2 linked regions of the Alligator mississippiensis genome follow. The protein of the gene in region 1 interacts with the protein of each later gene in a pairwise test. Links are inferred from orthologs where the notes say so. Each region holds a gene or a part of one and is shown on either strand. Other genes may lie near its edges.

The links. The genes of interacting proteins can lie anywhere in the genome.
Region 2: the proteins of FHL3 (region 1) and PATL1 interact in binary tests that used the Homo sapiens proteins (3 or more experiments, as listed by UniProt). The two-hybrid records come from large-scale screens. The link is inferred for Alligator mississippiensis from reciprocal best matches to the Homo sapiens genes FHL3 and PATL1.

What each region holds. Positions count from the first base shown.
Region 1 is NC_081829.1:1,228,900-1,238,929, reverse strand, and holds the start of FHL3 (four and a half LIM domains protein 3), read left to right. Parts: upstream 1-5,756; 5' UTR 5,757-6,004; intron 6,005-6,306; 5' UTR 6,307-6,360; coding exon 6,361-6,397; intron 6,398-6,461; exon of another isoform or gene 6,462-7,226; coding exon of another isoform or gene 7,227-7,233; intron 7,234-10,030. UniProt on the Homo sapiens protein: Recruited by SOX15 to FOXK1 promoters where it acts as a transcriptional coactivator of FOXK1.
Region 2 is NC_081825.1:176,458,418-176,467,963, forward strand, and holds the start of PATL1 (protein PAT1 homolog 1), read right to left. Parts: upstream 4,469-9,546; 5' UTR 4,434-4,468; coding exon 4,293-4,433; intron 2,444-4,292; coding exon 2,332-2,443; intron 2,064-2,331; coding exon 1,849-2,063; intron 1,748-1,848; coding exon 1,670-1,747; intron 578-1,669; coding exon 383-577; intron 1-382. UniProt on the Homo sapiens protein: RNA-binding protein involved in deadenylation-dependent decapping of mRNAs, leading to the degradation of mRNAs. Acts as a scaffold protein that connects deadenylation and decapping machinery.

The sequences.
Region 1 (10,030 bases):
TTTCCTGTGCGTTGACCCCAGCTGCGCGCTGCTCCCCTCTGGCCTGCAGCCAGCTGCATTTCCAGGCTCTTCGGAGCACGGGTTTTGCAATAGTACATAAACTTCTGGCTCCAGAGAATGGCTTTGCAGAGAGATTAGTATCTTTTAACAAAGAAATTAAGGGCCTGCCAGCAAAAGCAAAGGCAATGCCTTGGAAGCTGGGAAAACACCCCTGACCTTTCCCAGGAGCCTCGGTTCAAGCATTTGGGTCTGGCTAGCACATGGCAGACATGAGTCGGCTTGACGCCTTCTGTGCGGCGTGAACGTGTGACTGCAGCTGGGCCCCAGTCCAGCGACCTCTGGACCCCGGGGAGCCCTCCACTCCCCGCTGCGCTGCTGGGTCTTGCCCGTGGGATGGGGCAGGCCCAGCGTTGGCTGTGCGGGGTTCTAGATTTAGCAGCTTTACCTTCTTCACGGGCAGGAAACAGGCTCATAATGTCCCTCCATGCCTGAAAAAGGAAGAGCCACCCTTGCCCGGGCTCTCTCGTGGGCCCTGGCTGATACCTGGCCCGTTAGCAGACACCAAGGATGCAGAGCTGCAGGGGAGAAGTGCCAGAGGAGCTTTGCAAAGCCCATCACAAAGGCAAGGGGAGGGTGACCCTGCTTTACCCAGGGAGACTGGGGCACAGGGATGGGGAAGGGCTCGGTCAAAGCCTCAGTCAGAGCTGGGGACGCCATCCCAATCTGATTCTCAGCCTGTCCCATTGCATAGCCTTTCTCCCCAGGCAGGCGGGCCGTGCTCCGGTGATGAATGCATCGCCGTGTCTGCTGTCCAGCCGACGTGTCTTTCCCACCTCCTGGGAGCGTCGCTGTGCTTAGGTAGTATCTGGATGCAGAGGAGCTGGCTGAACCCCTCCTTGCTCCTTTGCTTTGCGTGTTGGTCATCGGTTCTTGTGTCCATGGGATCAGAGCATGTACAGTCTGGGTCTTTCTGAGTCAAAATGCCTCTGCTTTGTGGAGCCACTGGTTGCTGCTCGGTGCATTGTGCACGTCGTGGCACTCGCAGGCAGAAAGCACACACAGCTCGTGATTTTGGGTGCTGCGGTGGCTGTCTGGACTTGGGGGTGGGCGACTTGCAACCAGTCACGCAGAAAGGCTTTGGAGCGGTCTGTGGTCAGAGACCTCTGCCGTCGTCCCTGCGGATGCAGCAACCACGTGTCCCAGACTAAAAATATTGCCACCAAAATAGCCTTTCTGGAAAGGTTTCCTAATCTCCTGGTAGTTCCTCTTGCTGGCATGCTCAGTCCCCGTCACAAGGCAGGGCGAGCTCGGCAGTGCTGTTCACCAGAGAAGGAACTCGGATGGGTCCCAAATGTTCTGACCTGCCCCAGTCCCAGGCCGCCGATCGCAGCCAGCTGCTGCCGCTTCCTGCCAGTGTCCTCAAGTTGCTTTTTAAAGCCTGAAAACTAGATTGGCAGGCTCCAGTGTATGCCTGGACCACCGCCCTGACCTGTGCACCATGCAGCCTTCCCCTCCTCAAAGCCCCTTCCAGCTCGCTGCCTCTCCGCAGGCGCTTCCAAAATTGGCGTAGGCTAAGCAATCCTTCCCAAAAGGGAGCAGTGTCCTTGGACCCAGGTTCTCCCCAGTCCCCGCCCCACACTCTGGTAGCGTTGGCTTCATTCAAAGATCCTAATTCAGCATCACAGAAGGGTTCCCACTAACTTCAGTGGGATTTAGAGCAGCCCCTAGTCTGTTTGCTCCTTTGGGCACGGGCTCACTGGTGAGCATCAAGTGTGTCTGAGCCCTGGACTACTCGCAATGGCACGGTAAGGGAGGCTTTTGGAGCCTGCTGAAATGGGAGAAGAACAAGTCGAACAACTTGTGTCTCCTCCAAGTTAGTCATTTGCTCAGTTGGCCAGTGTGTTTTTGTAGCCGCGCGTAAGATGAAATTCCCATGCACAGGCCCAGCATGGGGCTTATGCACCCCTGAGCCCCAGCACGTGTGCATGTGCGTGCTTGTGTTTCACCCCACGCGGATAGCAGCAAGGAGAAATCAAGGTGCATAAAAGAAATTGGTATCACCGTGTGTTCTTCATCCTTGTTCAAAACTCACAACTTTCTGTGTTCATCCTGCCAGTGCTGCCACGGGGAGGGGAGGCCTCCCCGTCATGCTGATGGAGAAATGGAGCTGGAGGGGTTAGACGTGGCTTTTCCAAGTTCAGAGGAAGTCAGTGGTGCTGTTTGGATTAAGCCCGAGGATGGTGCGGTTACCGTTGCACCCGCAGGCTGGCTCTTGTATCGGTACAAGTGAATGTCTTGCAGTCTAGTTTTGCAAGCATGCCTTTGCAGGAGCTGATTGTCCACGGCTGGCGTGCTGCGGGCTTCTCGGAGCAGTTCAAGTCAGGGTGAAGAGCTTGGGAAAGAGGAGACTAATGGAAAGGGGATGTGGCAATGGGTGGGTCCTGTGCAGAGATAAATACACACTTGTGTGCCATGGGTTCAGGGCCTGGGACTCACCAACCTGCTTCTTAGCCAGCGCGTGAGCCCAGCACCCATCCTTCCCCGTTAAGCTGCTTAGTGCTTTGCCCTTCTCGTGTCACTTCTCCAGCGGCCGCAGTCTGGCATGATGCTAATTGAAGACCACCCAGCTCGCTCCGTGGTGTTTGTGCAGCAGTGTCGTCTCCCGAGTCTTGCGGGCTGATGTAACTTGAGGCTTGGCAGGTGAAGGACTGACCTCACGGCGGGGGAGGCTGGGATTTCGTCGACCTTGGACGGGAAGTCTTAGGGCAGAGAGTTTGGGATGCCTCTGGCTGCGCTCTGCGATCTGGGAGCAGGCAGAGCCCCCTCCTCCTGCACCCCAAAAAGCCAGTAGTGATTGCTTTTCCTCTTGGTGCGTCTTCCCAGACCGTCTCTTGGCCCCTGGGGGCTGATGAGATTGAATGTGGCACGACTGATAAGTGCAGGGAGGCACAGGGGACCACAACACTAATGTGCACGAGCGCAGGGGACAGCAGAGGCCCGGCTCCCAGGAGAGCCACCCCACTGAGTCCAGTGTGCAGCGCCGTGCTCTGCCAGCTAAGCACAGCACGTCCCCAGCATCCGGCACCATCCTTCCCCGTGGCTCTGGGGAAGGACACGGCCCGGCTGAGGGTACCGGCAGGTTCGAGCAGCCAAGCACTTCCCACGTCGCTCCTGGCTCGTGCGTCTGACTTGCTCCCGTCCTCCCTTTGCAGACGTTTTCCCTGTTCCTGCCCCTGAAGGAGACACAAGGTCCTCCTCCTACATCAGTTCGTGGCTTCTGTGCACAGGGAACGTGCACTGTTTCCACGAGGCCTGGGCAGGGGGCTGGCTTATCTAAATTCCCGTTTGCTGGGAAGGGTGTTGGGAGGACGCTCAAAAACCCAGCCCTTTCCGGGCTCCTAGCTGCAGAGCACGTGCACCAGGCCTTGGGGCCAGAGCAAGAAAGGTTTCCAAAAGCCCAGCATCAAAGGTGTGGGAGGCTGCTGGCTTGTGGGCTCTGAGGTCAGGGCCAAGCGGGCGGTAGAGCAGCGCCCTTCTGCTGCATCTCTTTGCAGTTAATCCAACAGCTCCCAGGGAAAGGACGGTGGGGAGGTTGTGCGGGAGCTGGTCAGCAAACAACGGTGGAAACACCGAGGCCAGAATTGCCCATGGGGAGGTTGGAGGTGGTTTGTCTCCGCGGAGCAGCTGGGCATGCAATGAGCTGGGCACCGGATTGCCCAGCTCTGCCGGGACTAGCGCGCCTAGTCTAGGGGCTCCGTGGCCCGCAGCCTTGCCCGGCTCAGCGTGGTGCACCGCAGAGCTACGAGGGATGCGTCTGACCCCGAGCAGCGAGTCCCCGAAGCTGTGCCATGCGGTCCACGAGGCTCCAGCATCTCCGCACGGGCCGTGCGTGCTCTGCCACGCGGGGCGATGCGGGCAGGCTGCAGAGCCCACGTGCCGCGTGAATCTCTGCATGTATAAAATCAACCCGGGGTTTTCGGCTCCATTTCCCTGCCTGGTCCCGTCCCTTCCTATTCGAAAGGCCCAGTCTTTCCTCCGCGGGTGGATTTTCCTCCTCTGCAGTGACGGGAGCCCCTGGTAAGAGTGGCCCGAGGCCGGCTGCAAAGGGGACGCGTGTGACTTTCCCCCAGAAGGCTTTCCCTTTGTCCCTTTGTTCCCGCCTGCCTTTTGCACGCCCTCTCTGGCACGAACGGCCCGCGCTCATTCAACGGCTCTCTTAAGAAATCCTAGTGGAGAGTTAGACCTGGCAGATGGAGGCCTCTTACCTCACCGCACAAAAATGCTTTGTTATTGAGAAAATGGAAACTGTCTGAGGTTTCTGGGCTGAATAGAGTCATTGGTGTCTTGTTTTAACCGCAGCTCGGTCGCGGCTGCTTGAGCTTTCCCTGAGCTGAGCACTCCCTTCTCCAAACCATCCTCTCTGAAGAGTCGCCACGAATTAACTCGTTAGCGCTGGAGGCTCCTGCCTGCCCGGAGACCTCGGCTAGCGGGGAAGAGCGCTGTCGCCACCGAAGCCTTTGCCCAGAACAAGAGTGTCCCTGGGAGCCCGAGCCGGGCTCACCTCCCGTTTCTAATCCACACTGTCCCGCTGGCCGGCACGTACGCGTGGGAAGGCCAGTTGCTCCGTCCACTTAATGAGGAGCGTAAAGGTTAGGGAGGAAAGTGTCCGGACTTCCACGCTCTAGCTCTTCCCCGCACCCTCGAGCTCCTAGTTGTGAGACGAGAAACTTCTGCTTGTCACGAGCTATTCGAAGTCGGCAGCGCGGTCTGCCGCGGGAGCTCAGCGAGGGGAAGGGGTTTGCAGGATCCGCCAGCTAGCCCTTCCATCGCGAGCAATGACAGAAACAGCATCCCCTGAAACGCAAGGCTGGCTCTGGCTAATGGATCGTTGTACGGATTTGAGGAATTAGATCCGCGCCATTCGATAGCTCCGGCCGGGAGGGTTGCAGAAGCATTGTCCGCTAGCGCCCTTGCAGGGCTGGCAGAAGCAGCTCTTGGGGTTGTGTTTTTCAAGTAAACTGAGCCCAAGATCCCGGTTTTTGTTGGGTTGAAGTCTCGTGGGCCCGGGAATCCCTTCCAGCTGCTGCGGATGTTTGTCAGAGCTGGCGCATCCCATGCACAGATGTGGCCCCTAAAATATGGCAGCTGTGAGGGCGCGAGAGAGCCCGGCCGTTTACCCTGACGTGTACACACGGCTTTGCTGGCTGGGGTGTGTTTGCCCGGGCCGCTAGAGCTCCCCTAAACCGGCTCCGCTCGCAGCTCCTCGTCCGGGGAGAGGAGTGACTGGTCAGCCTCTCCTCGGCACCCCTTTGAGAGCCAGCGTGGGCTTGAGTAATGCTAATCGACTTAACCGGGGAAACAGTCCCAGCTGCTCAGAGCGGAGCCCCCGGTTTCCATCCTAGCCCCCTGCTTTCTGTGGGTTTTAGCTGCGGTCATGAAAATCCTTTCCAGGCGGAGCCTGGCTCCTGAGGTCTCCCCGAGGGTTTAAAAAAAAAATGCAAAATGCAAATTGCAAAAACAGTTGGCAGCTATTCCTGGAGGAGCACCGGGTTACGGGTCTCCCCTCTTCCTGCAGCTTCAAAGCAGCCTCCATGGGGTAGGACCAGGCTCCCGAGGAGGATTTCCCCCCTGGGTGCTGGGCGCATTGGAAGTAAAGCTGTTTCTGTTCTGGTTCAGCGGCAGGCGTGGGCCCTGCCCTTCTGGCGGGGGCAGGATGCATGTGTTAACTCCGCCTGGGAGCCTGCTGCTTGGCAGGGGAGGAGCCTGCCTGGTTTTGGGGCTCTTCCGAGGAAACAAAAGAAATTGCATGAAGTGCAAAATGCATCGTAACTCGAGGGTCTGATTGCGACGGGCCGGAGCCAAGAAATTCCTCCCAGGGGGTCACAAGCCGTTGTGCTGCGCCAGGGCTTTCACACGCAGCGCTCTGGGAGAGGGAAGAGCAGGGGAGTGTCCTGGGTGGAAATGCTCTGGTCTTGTCGGCACTTGAAAGTTAACCTGGAGTAAGGTAGGGTGTGAATTTAACTTCTGCGGCTGTTCCCAGCGTGCCTCGTCGGTGTGAAGCTTGCCCCGCTCTAGCAGCGGGACAAGGCGGAGGGACGTCTGGTCTCGCTGCGGCCGGAGGAGCCTAATTCTACACGCCCGTGTCCCTCCTTGCTTGCCCCGCTTCTCCTTGCAAAGCGGGGTGCCTCTGGGGACCTTCAGGGTGCAGGCCTGGGGTGCATTCGCAAGGAGACGCGGAGCAAGGGAGGGAGGACTCTGGCAGGGCTGGGTCTGCGGTGCATCCTTGCCTGTGTATTCCCCGGACAGGGACCGAGAGACTCGCTGCCTCGTGTCACCGGCGTGAGCCGTGGCAGCCTGGAGATGACGGACTGCCCTGCTGCGCGGAGGTGCCGCGAGGGTGAGTGGCTCGGTGTGCGTGAAGCAACATAACCGTCGGGGAGGTGATGCACAACCGGACCCACAGAATATGTGTGTGTGGTCTTTGGTGGGCGATGGGATGGAGAAGTCCCTTTCCTACTGGAGAAGCCACTCCTCCTTCGAGAGCTGCCCTTACCCATGCCTCGGTCCTGGAGGGACGGGCGAGCATGTGGCCGTCCGTGCTAGCACTCGCTGCATAGAAATCCACCCCAAAAACACCCACCCGTATCATGAGCGGCTGCCGCCGACTCAGGAAACACGGTGGTACCAAGAGATACGGCTCGGAGGGTCCCTTCAGAGAGTGCCGGGCCAGGTGGGATTATTGCGGCCTTTATTAAAGAGGAGCGTGCAACGTGGTCCGAGCAAGCCTGGCCGCGTGACGCAGGCTTGCCGACCCAAGCAGGTCCCGTCAGCCGCAGCGGGGTTTGCTTCGGCAGGATTGGGGTCAGTAGGAGGGTGGCTCTCGGTGTGCCCAGAAACGCGCTCTCTGCCCCGTGGCCGGGGCCAGGGCCACGTGTGCCTCCTGTGCACATGCAGAGTACCTTGAGTGGCAAGAGCCCAGGCTCCAGCCCCGTGTGATGAAACCTGAACCTCTGTCGGAAACGCTACTCCTGCGCTGATGTCAGCCCCCGGTTTATGATGCGACTGCTTTTGTTTCTGGGTGAGCACTTCAGTGTTTTGCTGGTGCGCCGGGATTGACTGGGGCACCGTCTCCCAGCACACCTGCTGCAGCCGACTCCAGCGCGGCTGCCTCCCCGGGACAGGCGGGCTTCCCTTTGCTTTCCTTGCCGATCCCCCCGCAGCCAGCCATGCAAGGTAACTTTCTGCTTTGGGCAAGGGAGTGCTCAGTAGGGCTCGGGCAGCCTGGGGCAGTCTCTTTACCCAAAACTCGTTTTGGGTTTGGCTTGGTGGGGGGCACAGCGGGACTCTGGGCTCCCATCGCTCGCCGTGTTGCACAGACGGTCTTGGAAACTCTTTTCATCTCATGCACGGTTGCACCGGGTGCTTATCTGTGCACACACAAGGTGTTCGCCGCGTCTGGGAGGTCAGCCCCTCTGCCCACCGTGCTGGCTGGCTGGGTCGCAGCTAGTTAAAATCCTGTCCTGCGGCGTGCCACTGTCATCTGCTCCGTGCACGCTTCCCGGGCGCCTTTGCCTGCAGCCCCGTAAGCTCACCTGAGCTTCTTGGTTGCTGCTGAATGAGGATGCAATGCTGGAAATGGGCATCAGGCTGCAGGGCAGGGGCTCCCGGGCTTCGGAAACATCGTGGTTGCATCTGCCCGGGGCCCAGAGAGAGGCAGAAAGCTGCCGTGCCAGGAGAGCTGTTGGAGAGATGAAGAGGCAGTGTGAGCTCCCAGGGCTTTACCCCCTGGAGTCCTTGCTGGGGGCTGTCCTGCCCAGGACAGGTGCCCGAGGTGCGGGTAGCAGGGGCACTAGCCCTGTGAGGTTCGGTAGCATTTGGGGGGCAGGTTGTGGGGAGCTAATGCAGCCCCTTGCTGCTGGGGGAGACGCCTCTGTTCTGGGCACACCGGTCCTCTCGCCCTCGGGCTGACAGCCCTTTCTCGCGTGCCAGCGGCACGGCCCCGCTGCATGCTGGAGCACACAGGCTTCTTGCACACTTCCCAGACTTTTGCTCAGCTGTTTTATTGCCTATAATGCTCTATGTGGAGCACGCTGCCACTGCCTTAAAACGCTGGGTATGTAAGAAAAGAGGGGAAACGCTGCGGCAGAGCAGAGCAGAGCGGCTTGCAAATGGCCAGATCTAGACCGTGGCAGTAATTCACTCCAGATGGGTCTGCTGTAAAGTGGCTGCAGCCCTGCGCTGGAAGGGAAGAAAGCCTCTCCCTGCACACAGTGCTCCGGGGCCATCTCTACTCTCGCTTCCCAACCGCTCCCGATCTTGCCCCGCGGGCCACGTTGCCCCAGCCGAGGAAGGCTGCGGTGGGCACGTGCTGCGACTGCCGGGCAACGGAGCTTTGTTTTGGACCACAAGAAACCAGCGGCGGGGGGGTGGGTAACCCGAGACTACCCCCCTTCGCTGGCACTCGGCGCTTCGCCCGATTTAGAAGCTGCCGACGTGCCGGGGCTGCGCAGCTGTAATTTCCTGCGCTTGCGAGGGACGCCGGCAGCTGTAAAACATGCTTGGGACATGGCTGACTTCTGCAAGGGGCAGCAAAAAGGGGGCTTGCAGTTAGCAGCCCTGCAGCGAGAGGAGCACGCTACTGGGGGAGTCTGGGTGGAGGGTTGGTGAGGGTGGCCCTTCTCTCCCCTCTGCCTCTCGCCAGCCCCCCGTCCTGCCCGCTGCAAAGACACCTCGGGGGAACACAGCCCGGGGGGGCAGGGGGTGTACTGGGACCACAGCACAGCAGGAGGGCGCGAGGTTGCATGTCGCCTGGCTGCACGGACCATGCCGGCTGCAAACGCTGCTCCCCGGGACACAAGGAATGGAGTCCGCAGCAAATAGTTTGACCAAATTTGGGGAAAAAATTCCCTTCTGGCCTGGAAGGAAGAAGAAGGCAGAAAAACTTGCACGCAGACACTTCGATTTATGCTCCTAGGACTGCTTAAATCAAGATGTTTACGAGCTGAGCAGGCCCTCCATCAACCCAAGCGCTGCCGGGCACTGCGGCGAAGGTGGCTACGGAGGAGAGCTGGCCTCAGGCCCCGCGGGCTGGCTCTGCTGCACGTGACTGCAGGGCACGTGCCCTGCAGCCGTCTCCATGCCAGGCGCTCTGTTTGCAGAGCTCAGGGGATGCTCGCTCAGGCGCATGCCCGGAGCAGATCCTCCCACGCCTGGCTACGAGCGTCATGCCACAGCGGTGTTCATCCAGAGATCACGGAGGGTTGCGCACATGCTCGCTTGAGTTACCCAGGCAGCTAGAGGTGAGGCTCGCTTCACCCGGCACTGCGATGCAGCCAGGTGGAAGAGGGGGAGCTGCGCGCAACAACGTGATGCCGTTGCACGGGACGGGAGGCAAGACTGCACCGTGCGGTGGTTGCGGCAGGAGCATCCTAGGGAAGCACGAGGAGCTGCCTTCTTCCATGGGATGCTGTGCCGGAAGAGACACGCGTGGCCCCCAAAAGCGAAGCGGCTGAGCAGAGCCTGGCACCCCAGTGCAGGACCGTGGTGTTGTGCTGGGCTGCATCCAGCCTGTGGAGCTGGGGCGCCGGCAGTGGGAGCAGCCCGCAGTAATTGGCAGTGAGGTTGCCAGCGGACGCCCACCTTCGGATGGGGCCGTGCTACTTCAGCTTGCCGTTGCTAAAAGGCTGCCAGCCAACCTCTGGCCTAGATTGTAAAATATTTATAGCGTGCAAGCGCGTTGGGGTGCGGCTGTGCCTCGCTTGTTCGCACAGCCCCTTGCATTGGCGTTACGGGAATACACGTGACAATTTAGCACCAGGTGCAGGCTTTCACCTGCCTCCATCGATTCCCCGGGGAGTCTGGGCTCTGCATTTTTCTCTCCGAGGAGCTGGGAGTGCAGCTCCCCAGCTCTCCTGGACTGGCTCTTCTCACACACGGACTTCTGCCGTTAAAGCGGGCGTGCGGGCAGCGGTGGAAAGGCAAGGGGAGCGTCTTCCTGAGGATGATGCTGGGCTCTCTCCTGGCCTGGCTG
Region 2 (9,546 bases), on another chromosome or scaffold:
GCTAGAGACCACCAGGGTGCACTGATGCATAGTAGTCCCCATGCCCTCCTGCAAATGAAAGCAACCTACATAGCAGGACCAGGCAGGCTGCAGGGACAGTAGGGACATCAGCAGGACAAGGAGTATCTGAGAGAACAAACCCACCCCTCCCCTCCCCTCTTTCCATTTCCTGCCAGAAGCCAGACACTCACAGCAGGTGAAATAAACCATCAATCTTGTGGTTTTCTGCTCTGAAGATTGTGCGAGTGGTAAGAGATTAGGACAGGTGCCTTCAGGACCCCTTTTACACCCTCTCCTCCCCACTATTTCTGTTCTTCTTCTTGACCCAAACCATGCTGCTTCTACTGCTTTCATGGAAGGGGAGAGGAAGGAGAGGAGGCACCTGCTGGTTGAAGTTCGGCATGGCAGCTTGCTTGGGCGGGGTGCCGATGGGGACAGCGCGGACAGGGGGGCTTCCAATGACAGGGGAGGAAGAGCGCCTGGGCAGTGCCCTCTCTGAGAGGTCGCGCTCCTCATCCCGGGCCTGGGGTGGCCTCTGAGGCAGGGCGTAGTCAAGCACTGACACCGACGGCATCTCCTGTACATCAAGGGAAGGAAAATGACGGACAATGGTCAGTTACTTTGAACTGATCACACTCTACCAACCTGCCAGTGACAGGAAGGCAGCCCAGCACACCCTCCATCTCAGAGAGAACCCTTGAATCTCAGAGATCACTTCCCCTCAGCTAGCACATCTTCATGGCAGTCCCACTGGTCCAGCATATCAGAAAGTCAGGAGACAAGCACTCTCCAGGCCTGATTTGCTGCTTGACAAAGAAAGGCATAGAGAGGTTGTGCCTCTCATTACTAGGAGAAATGTTTTTACAAGACTTTTGGATGAATGCAGCAAACTGTTTCATACACATGACTGCTCCTCCTTTTGGCTCTAGCAACAGATTTATGTTTATTAGCCTCATTTGCCTTGCAGAAGACAGGAAGCTGGGTTTTATTCCAGCTTAAGACACCAGAATTCTTGAAGATTTGGCCAGCAGAGATTAGTTATCTTAACTTAGCCTTAACAGCATCTGTACCAACTTTCAAGTGGGGCTAGTTTATTAAGGATAATATGCAAGTACATTATAAGCAGTCTCACTCACAGATCCCAGGGGATACTGGCAGAACTGGCTGTGCTTTTCCTCCAAGCTAAATGTGCTTGATCTGGAGTCAGCAAGGAAAAGCCACAGACCCCTTCTTTCACAATACTATTTTAGAGTCCTGTTTTACAAAGCAGAATTGCTCTTCAAGAGTGAATCAAGTCCCATGATTCAGGGGCTTAGCTGGTTGCCACAAGCACAGGAAGAGATTGCTCATGAAGGACAGGGCATTACACAACAAGGTAAGTGCATTGTGGGTACTTTCAGTTTCTTCCGGCGCATCTGCCAGGCAATGGTCTGATCCTATGCAGCAAGAGGGAGGTCACCAGACAAAAAGCACCTGTGGTTTGATGCAATACAGTAGGACACAAAGTGCAGAAATGGCAAATCTTGTGCTACTCAGGCTTTTGCTCTAATCAGGAAAAGGCCTCCTAAGGTGGGAGAAAGCACCTTTTCTGTATTTACTGCCAGTGCAGGTGGCTGAGAGACCTCAAGTTCTCCTCTGTCAAGGTAGTAACAATACTGGGACACTACACCTGAGTGAGAAGCGGCCCTCGGATGCGTCTCAGAACTGCTGATCCATCCCAGATGCTGGAGTTCAGTCCTCCTGGATGCTGTGGAACAAAAGAGATGGGTTGATATGGAGAAGGTTTTTCTGGCTGCCCACCCTTCTTCTCCCCCACCACCTCCAGCTCCACCCCCCAACTGCACTCACTTGAACAGGGAGCCGGGTTTGCACAGCCTGCATGATGGCTGGGTCTTCCAGTTCATTATCGATTACCATCTTGGTCAGCCTCTCTGCCAGGTTCTCTTCATGGTCCCCCAGCAGGTCCATTTCATCAGTGACTGTCCCATCTTCCTGCTCCCCAGTGGTTGCAGGCTTGTCTTCCAGTTCAGCCAGCCGCTCATGTGCCTCCTGCCAATCATCATCTATAAGGGAACCACAGAGGAGTGGGGCTGGAACTGTTGTACCACACTTCTCCTCCAGTGCCAGCTGCAATTCCCAGGCAGAGGCAATGAGGAACCCCTCAGCTTCCTCACTGGACATCTAACAGAGCTGCAAGTGGAACTGCCTGAGCCTGAAGCAACAGCAGCATGGTGGGGACGGACAACATCTTACTTCAGATACGTCACCTCCTGAAGAAGAGAAGGAGGCAGAGACAAAGACAGGGAAACAAGGGAGAAACACAGCTCTCACCCACAGCACCGGCTCCAAATGTGTCATCGTTGAACTGGTCAATATCTTCATCTTCCTCACCCAGGGCATGAAAGGCATCTTCGTCCTCATCCAGAGGGCAGTCCTCCAGGGACTTGGAAAAAGGAGAGAGAGAGAGAGCAAGCATGTGTGCTATGAGAAGGTCTTGTGATGTGCTGCAATTTCACCTGCCTTCCCAGCACCACCAAGCTGGGTTCCTCCTTGGCCACTTCTCACCCAAACTGGAGGTCTGCCCATCTCTCGACCACTGCCCTGGAGGCTCTCTCAAGTGAGTCTGCGGGTGGGATTGGGGGAGAGGGGGAGGGGGGGGGGGGAAGTGTTCCTCCAGCACCAACCAAGCACAAGGCCTGTATTTCCCAAGTTCACAACATGCATATATGCCAAACACAACCAGAGTGCGCTCTCATTCTACCAAAAAAGGTCCCTCTGCCCAAGAACTGCCAAAGTGCAAGCCCTCAGATAAGGCAAAGCCACCACCATCTCCCTCAACTCCCACTTCCCCCTCCCACACAACAATACTAGCCACAGACCGTTTCCTGAACTTGCCTCCTAAGACAAAGTAACATCTCCCCACCACCTCCCCACATATATCCCCCATCCTATCCCATGCCCACCCTCAAAGCCGACCAAAAGGCAAGACTCATGGTCCAATGGATAAGGTGCCAGTCAGGGAGACCAGGGCTCAATTCTCTGCTCCACTACAGACTTCCTATGACACCTGAGGCAAGTCACTTTGTCTCTGGGCCTCCATTCCCCACCTGTTAATCAAGGCTAATGGTATCACCTGACCTCAATGCACTGCAAAGGCAAAAGTGCTGGCACCCCTGCACTGCTCAGATACTACAGCAGTCAGTACACAGGACAGGAGAAACTGCTGTCACCCACGCATCCACAACACACAAAGCACCCCCCCACCCCACCAAAGGCATCCCCCACGTCTTCCCTGACGCACCCCTGCGAAACAAGGCACCCCATGAAAGCCATGTAAACGAGGACACCCCACAAACAACACACACCAGCCCACGCTTTCCCAGGGCAAGCCAAAAATGTCCACTCAGATTACTGCCTTCCTCAAGACAACTTGGTAAAAAACAAGGGCTCCCCATGCCCCTAAACAACATAAATGCTATGCTGCTACTAGTTAAACTTTTATCATGCCACACCTCTAACCACATCACCCTTTCCCTTGCTCTCAGCAAGGCGGGTCCCCATCAGTAGGCACACGGCAACTGAGCACACAGCAGAGCCAAACAGGCACAGAACCATAGAGAACGAGGGCTGAAAGGGACCTCAGGAGGTCGTGGAGTCCAGCGTGTCTCAACCCGTGGGTCACAGGAATATAGGAAAGGGTCTCGAGCAAACTTTAAAAATGGATTCTCCTTTAAAGGAGAAAAATGAGGCACACGGGGGCTTTTCCCTTGCAGGCTGGCAGAGCTCCAGCCTGTGAGGGGCTGCTTGGGGCCCCCTCCCTGCCCACTGGGGACAGGGAGCAGCAGGACAGGAGTGAGGGGTCCTGGGCTGGGACTGGCCACTAATGTTTACAAGTGGGTCCTGGTACAAAAAAGGTGGAAAATCACTGCTGCAGTCCAACCCCTGCTCAGAGCAGGACCATCCCCAACTTGATCGTTCCAGCCAGGGCTTTGTCTTCCTGGGTCCTGAACACCTCCCAGGATGGAGAGCCCACCACCTTTCTGGGTTACCTGCTCCAATGTTTTCCTACCCTCCCAGTGAGAAAATTCTTCCTAATATTCAACCTAAACTTCCCTGCTGCAACTTGAGACCACTGCTCCTTGCTCTGTCATCTGCCACCACTGAGAGCAGTCAGTCCAGCTCCCTCCTCTTCCCAGCCCCCGTGCAGGGAGTTGAAGGCTGCTATGAAGTCGCCCCTCAGCCGTCTCTTCCCTAAACCAGCCCAGTCCCCTCAGTCTCCCACAGCCCCGGACCATTTCCGTCCCGGGCCGGCTCCCCGCGGTGTGCGCATCCCTCCGGCCGCGAGGCCCAAAGCTGCACACTGGACTCCCGACCCCCCGGCGCGGGCCCAGCCCCCGCTCCGGCCGCAGCCCCCCCGGCCGGGCCCAGCCCATCCCGCGGCTGGAGGGCCGGGGTCAGGGGTCAAAGGTGAGGGCGGGGGGGCGGGGCCGGGTGGCTCCTCACCTGGTAGCGGAACATGGTGCGCGTGAAGAGCGCGGAGCCCCTCCCCCCCAGCACCGCCTGGGAGGCTCCGCGCGGACCCCGCTCCAGCTCCGAGCCCCCACCCCCGGCACGCAGGCAGCGTCACGGCGCACGCACATGACGTCACCGCGCCCTCCAGCCTGCCGAGGGTCGAGTCTCCCGGCGGGCGCATGCGCGGTGCTGCCGGGCGCACCTCCGCCCACCGGCCCCGCCCACCATTAAAGGCACAGCACCGCCTCCCTCCGGCGGCCTGGATGTCACGTTCCTTCCTTGGAACGCTTGGCTTAAAGGGGCCGCGAGGGCTTGGGGCAGCCGGAAAAACCACGCGCCCTCCCGTCCGAGCAGCTGTTCTGCTGTCTCTTCTCTGCCCCGCTTCTGATCTGATCTGCAGTTCTGCTGTCTGCTCCCCGCCCCACTTCTTCTGATGTGCAGCTCTGCTGTCCCCCGCCCCCTGCCCTCTGATCTGATCTGCTGCTCTGCCATGTACTCCCGCCTCGTGCTCCTGGATCCTGCCGGGTGCCACTCGCGGCCCCAAGGGGCAGCTTGGCCACCCCAGCCCTGGAGCCGCTCTGTGTGATAACAGCAGTCGCAGAGCCGAGGTGCTGCTGCCTCCCCAGCCCGGGGGTTACGCGTCCCTGCCCCCCAGCTCTCCCCGTTCACGCATCACTCAGCTTTCAGTTCGGTTTGCTGTATCACCCGGGCCAGGCATGACTTGCTCAGATGGGGCCAGGGGAGAGTTTCTAGGCAGGACAGTGGCAACAGCAGACTTAAGATCCTTTTATCGCTAGGTTATAACCTGGGTTTTTTTCCTTACCCCACTCAGAATCTGACATGACTTTGAGTCCCCTGGATCTCACTAGAAACGATGGCCGGGAGCGTGGCCAATTTGGAAGCCAGGACTTGCTGCTACAGAGCAGCTTTCTAGCTCTCGCCAAGTGGTTCCCAACCTGAACCTGGCACGCCAGATGCCTTGAAGGGGGCTGCAAGGTCTGAGATGGTAGGAGCAAGCTCAGAGTCATCCCTGCCTGGCCACTCCCCTGCCTCCGCTGCCCTGTCCCCCTACAAGAGGGTAAGCACGGTAATAAATACGTTTTTGAATTTCACAGAAGGTAAGGAGGGGTACCTGGAATCTGTATAGGTCGACAGGGTATATAAGTTGGCCCCATTTTTCTGATCCGAAAAGTTAGGTCAGCATTGGATCTATGACATTCCTACCTTTTTGGATCAGAAATATGGGGTCAACTTGTACTGGCCCCTGCACTCCCTCACTACAGGCCGGGCACCCGGGGAGTGGGCATGTGCCACAGTGCCATGGGGCCAGGCTCGGTGTTTGGCTGGTGCAGCCCCATCCCCTGTGAGTGGCGATGCCTGTACACAGAGCCCGGTGCTGTTCGCAGGGGATGGAGCCCCATCAGCTGAGCGCCAAGCCTGGCTTTGTCTGCTGTGAGCGGTACTGCTGAGCACTAAGCCTAGCTCTGTCCCCTGCGAGCAGTGCTGGGCTTGGCACTTGGCTGGTGCACCCTCACCCCCCTGAGAGGGATGCTGCCTGGGCCACACCAACCAAGCGCCAAACCCAGCTCCATCCCCTGTGAGTGGCACTGCTGAGCACTAAACCCAGCGCCGCTCGCAGTGGATGAGGCTGGGCTCAGCACTCAGCAACACCACTCACAGCAGACAGGGCCAGGTTTGGCACTCAGCTGGTGCACCCGCATCCCCTGCGAACAGCACTGCCTGGGCCGCACGAGCCAATTGCGGAGCTTGGCACCACTCACAAGGGACGGTGATATGGTGTATAAGCCGAGGTTAAATTTTAAAGAGTCAAAAATTGGGTTTCAATAGTTGACTTACATACTGTGAAATATGGTGTTTCAGGGCACAGTTTCTAAAAGCATGTCAGGATTCAAGTCAAGAGGTAGAAGGAAGCAGAGTAATTGGAGTGGTGTAACTGGAAGGACCAGTACCTTGCTGCCAGAACTGGACCCCACCTGCAAAACTCAAACAGCTCTGATGTTCACGGTTGTTCAGGGTTTTGGAATGACCTGTTGTAGGAACCTGTGTCCAAACGTTCCCAGAACTAAAGAGTGCTCTAATCTGAGGTTCTACGTCAGGCCCAACTCTATTCACATCATAGCAGGGCTAGAAAGAACCATCTGAATGAGAGGATACAGGACCTGGCTTGTAACCTATCAGACCTTCACATACTTGTTGCCCTTAGGGTCAGCTGTGTTACTGGAAAAGGTCCAAAACAAGGCAGTGTGCTAGCCCCTGAACTTGTGGGGGAGTCAAGTCCCCTGTCACTCGTTAGTCCAAGCCAGGGCTAATAAAGACTTTGCCCCTGCCTCTCCACTGTTTCAGGCAGGCTGCCTCCTAAACTGGAACCAGCTTAGCCTCATCCCTGTGATACTTCAGGTTAGCTAATTAGCACTGCTGGGTGGCAATGCCACAGTGCCCATCTCCATGCTAATTAGTCTGCCAGGGCAGCTGCATGGGCTCACCTATCTTGCTTCTGGTTGAGGAGACAGTCTGCCCGGTGTGTTTGAGGGGCCTGGCATGGTAAGTTTAATTATATCTGGCCTTGGTTTGCATAGACTGTACAAGTTGTGTTAGTCCAAGAGCTGGAGAGCTACAGAGTGCAGCAAGGTCTAGCCCTGGCCAGCAGCCTGAAGAAGGAAAGCCCAGTGGATATCCATCACAGCCACATCTGCTTCTATTCTGCAACCACAGCTCAGAATGTATTTCTCTGTGGTACCTTCACTGAGATTTCTGCTCTTCTAAGTGCCAGGGTATTTGGGTTACTACCGTTCAGTGCTGGCCTTGTGTATTTTTAAAGGAAGTGTGAGTATCGTCAAGAGATGGATGAAGCGAGAGGGAGGGGGAAGGGGAAGGGGAAGGAGAAGGGAGGGGGTGGGGCACAATAATCTTTATCTCTCTTCCCTCTTCCCACCAGGGAGTTTTGGCCACTGATCACAAGATCTCCACTCCTCTTAACCTGTTTTCTTCCTACTTAAAACAATATTTACTCTCTTGCTACTGTTCCCAGACCCAGAGCTGGAGACCCAACCTGCAACCAGGCTGTTTGCACAACTTTAGGGACAACTCTTCTAACATGAACATACTTTAATGTCCCTAAAAGATGTCACAGCAGCTCAGCAGAGCTGCCAGGGATGGACAAATTTCCCTGCACTTTCTGGAGGGCTGTTCTCTGCTGCCAGGTGCCATGGTAGCAGTGGCAGGTGACTGTAGACTAGGCCTGAATGAGTAAGCCCTCCAGATGATCAAGAAAAGCAGCCTAGAGTCCAGTAGTTTCTGAAATCAGAAGGCAAAGAAAGAGAGTCCCAGATTATTATTAACAAGATAACTCACTTTTAAGCCAATCCTGTGACTTTTTAAGGGACATGACTCCTGATTTTTGGGCTTTTGACACTGGCAGTACTGCACCTCCTGAGGCACCCAGAACCTGGCCCTTTAGGTTACTAGATCTCTACCACCCTAGTGGTGCTCTGAAGGTGTGTACTTTTAGTGTGTGTTCAACTAGCTTTTGTTGTTTCCTCAGCTTGTTTTGTTTATACAGTGACTGTTTAGATAGATTTAGACTTGGGACAAGGACCCATGCTCTATACAAATCTGTAAAGTGACATGTTATCACAGGACTATGCAAATAGAAACTCAACTATAATAGTTCATGTGTTTATTAGCTTTCACTGTCTTCGTTCTCTGTCCTTTTGCTTGTGCTTATCCAGCCACTCGAACAGCTTAGGAAGGAGGAGAATATTAATAACAATAATCATCAGCTCCTTATGTGCTTCTTTGTTCAAAGTATTTTACAAACTTTAACTGATTAATTAGTATTTCAGGGTTCCCCTCTTTGACCTGAGGGATTAGGCAACTGTCAGGTCTTTGCAGTTTGTTTCCACTCAGAGGAGAAGTTGATGATGGAATAGGCTGATGCAATCCTATTTATTTATGAAGTGAGTACAAAGTAGGAATCAACCAACAAGACACTGTGTCTTTGCTCACAGTGCCAAGCCCAGTTCAAGCAGCACTGAGCCCAAGAGGTTTGCGCTATTGCAGTGATGTCAGCACTTCCCAGGATGTATCTGGTACCCCTCAGCTTCTCTGATGCTTTCGCAGACACACAAGCCTTCACACAACAGCAGAGAAATCCTTCTGTCCACAGGTGCCTTGCATGAGTGGTGACATTTCTCTGTTTGGGGTGGAGGTTGTTGTTGTTTCAGCTTTCTGGTTCCCTAAGAGAACAACCACCCTAACTAAATGGCAGTGGTCAAGCCTCCTGGAATCAGAGTGGTTCCATCTGATCTATAGCATGTGCCATTATTATGATCCCCATGTTCCATTTGGGAGAACTGAGGCCAAGGAACCACTCCAATACTAGTGGCAGAACAGCAAATAGGACCTGAACTTTGAAAGTCCCAGCCCCTTCTAAAGCCACTGCGTATTTTAGGAAGGGTACCCACACAGCTGGGGAAAAAGCAGCGTACATGCACAATCTTTGCAGGGGATGTTCTCATCATAATGCATTTTTTGTGTAATACCATACCTGTGTGTGGGTCAGTGGAGATCGAATCTGGCACCTCTGGAACCTAATGCATGAATCAGTACTGCCTGACCAAAAAGAGCTAGGTCTGTTGGCTGGAGCTCAACCATCCTCCACCTGAGGTGCCACTCTGAATGGGTGTGAAGAGGTATGTGTGCGTTCTCATGGGGCTGGAGCTCCCTTGTGCTTGGCACCTCAGAGGGTACCTCTACACTGTGACAGTAGGGAGCCTGGTATCACTACCTAGCTAATAAGCCCAGCCCACTTGCTTCCACTTTGTGCACATCAGCCCTCTAGGCATCCTCACCACCTCACTTCCAAGATCATACACATAAAGCAGGAATTGGTGTATATGGCTCATTGCTTCATAAGCTCTCTGCTGTTCCTGATGACACCTGAGAGGACTGAAAGGGAAAGCAAGTTAAAGAGGAAGCCAATGTTTTCTGCTTAGTGGGTTTTCCTTCTACTCC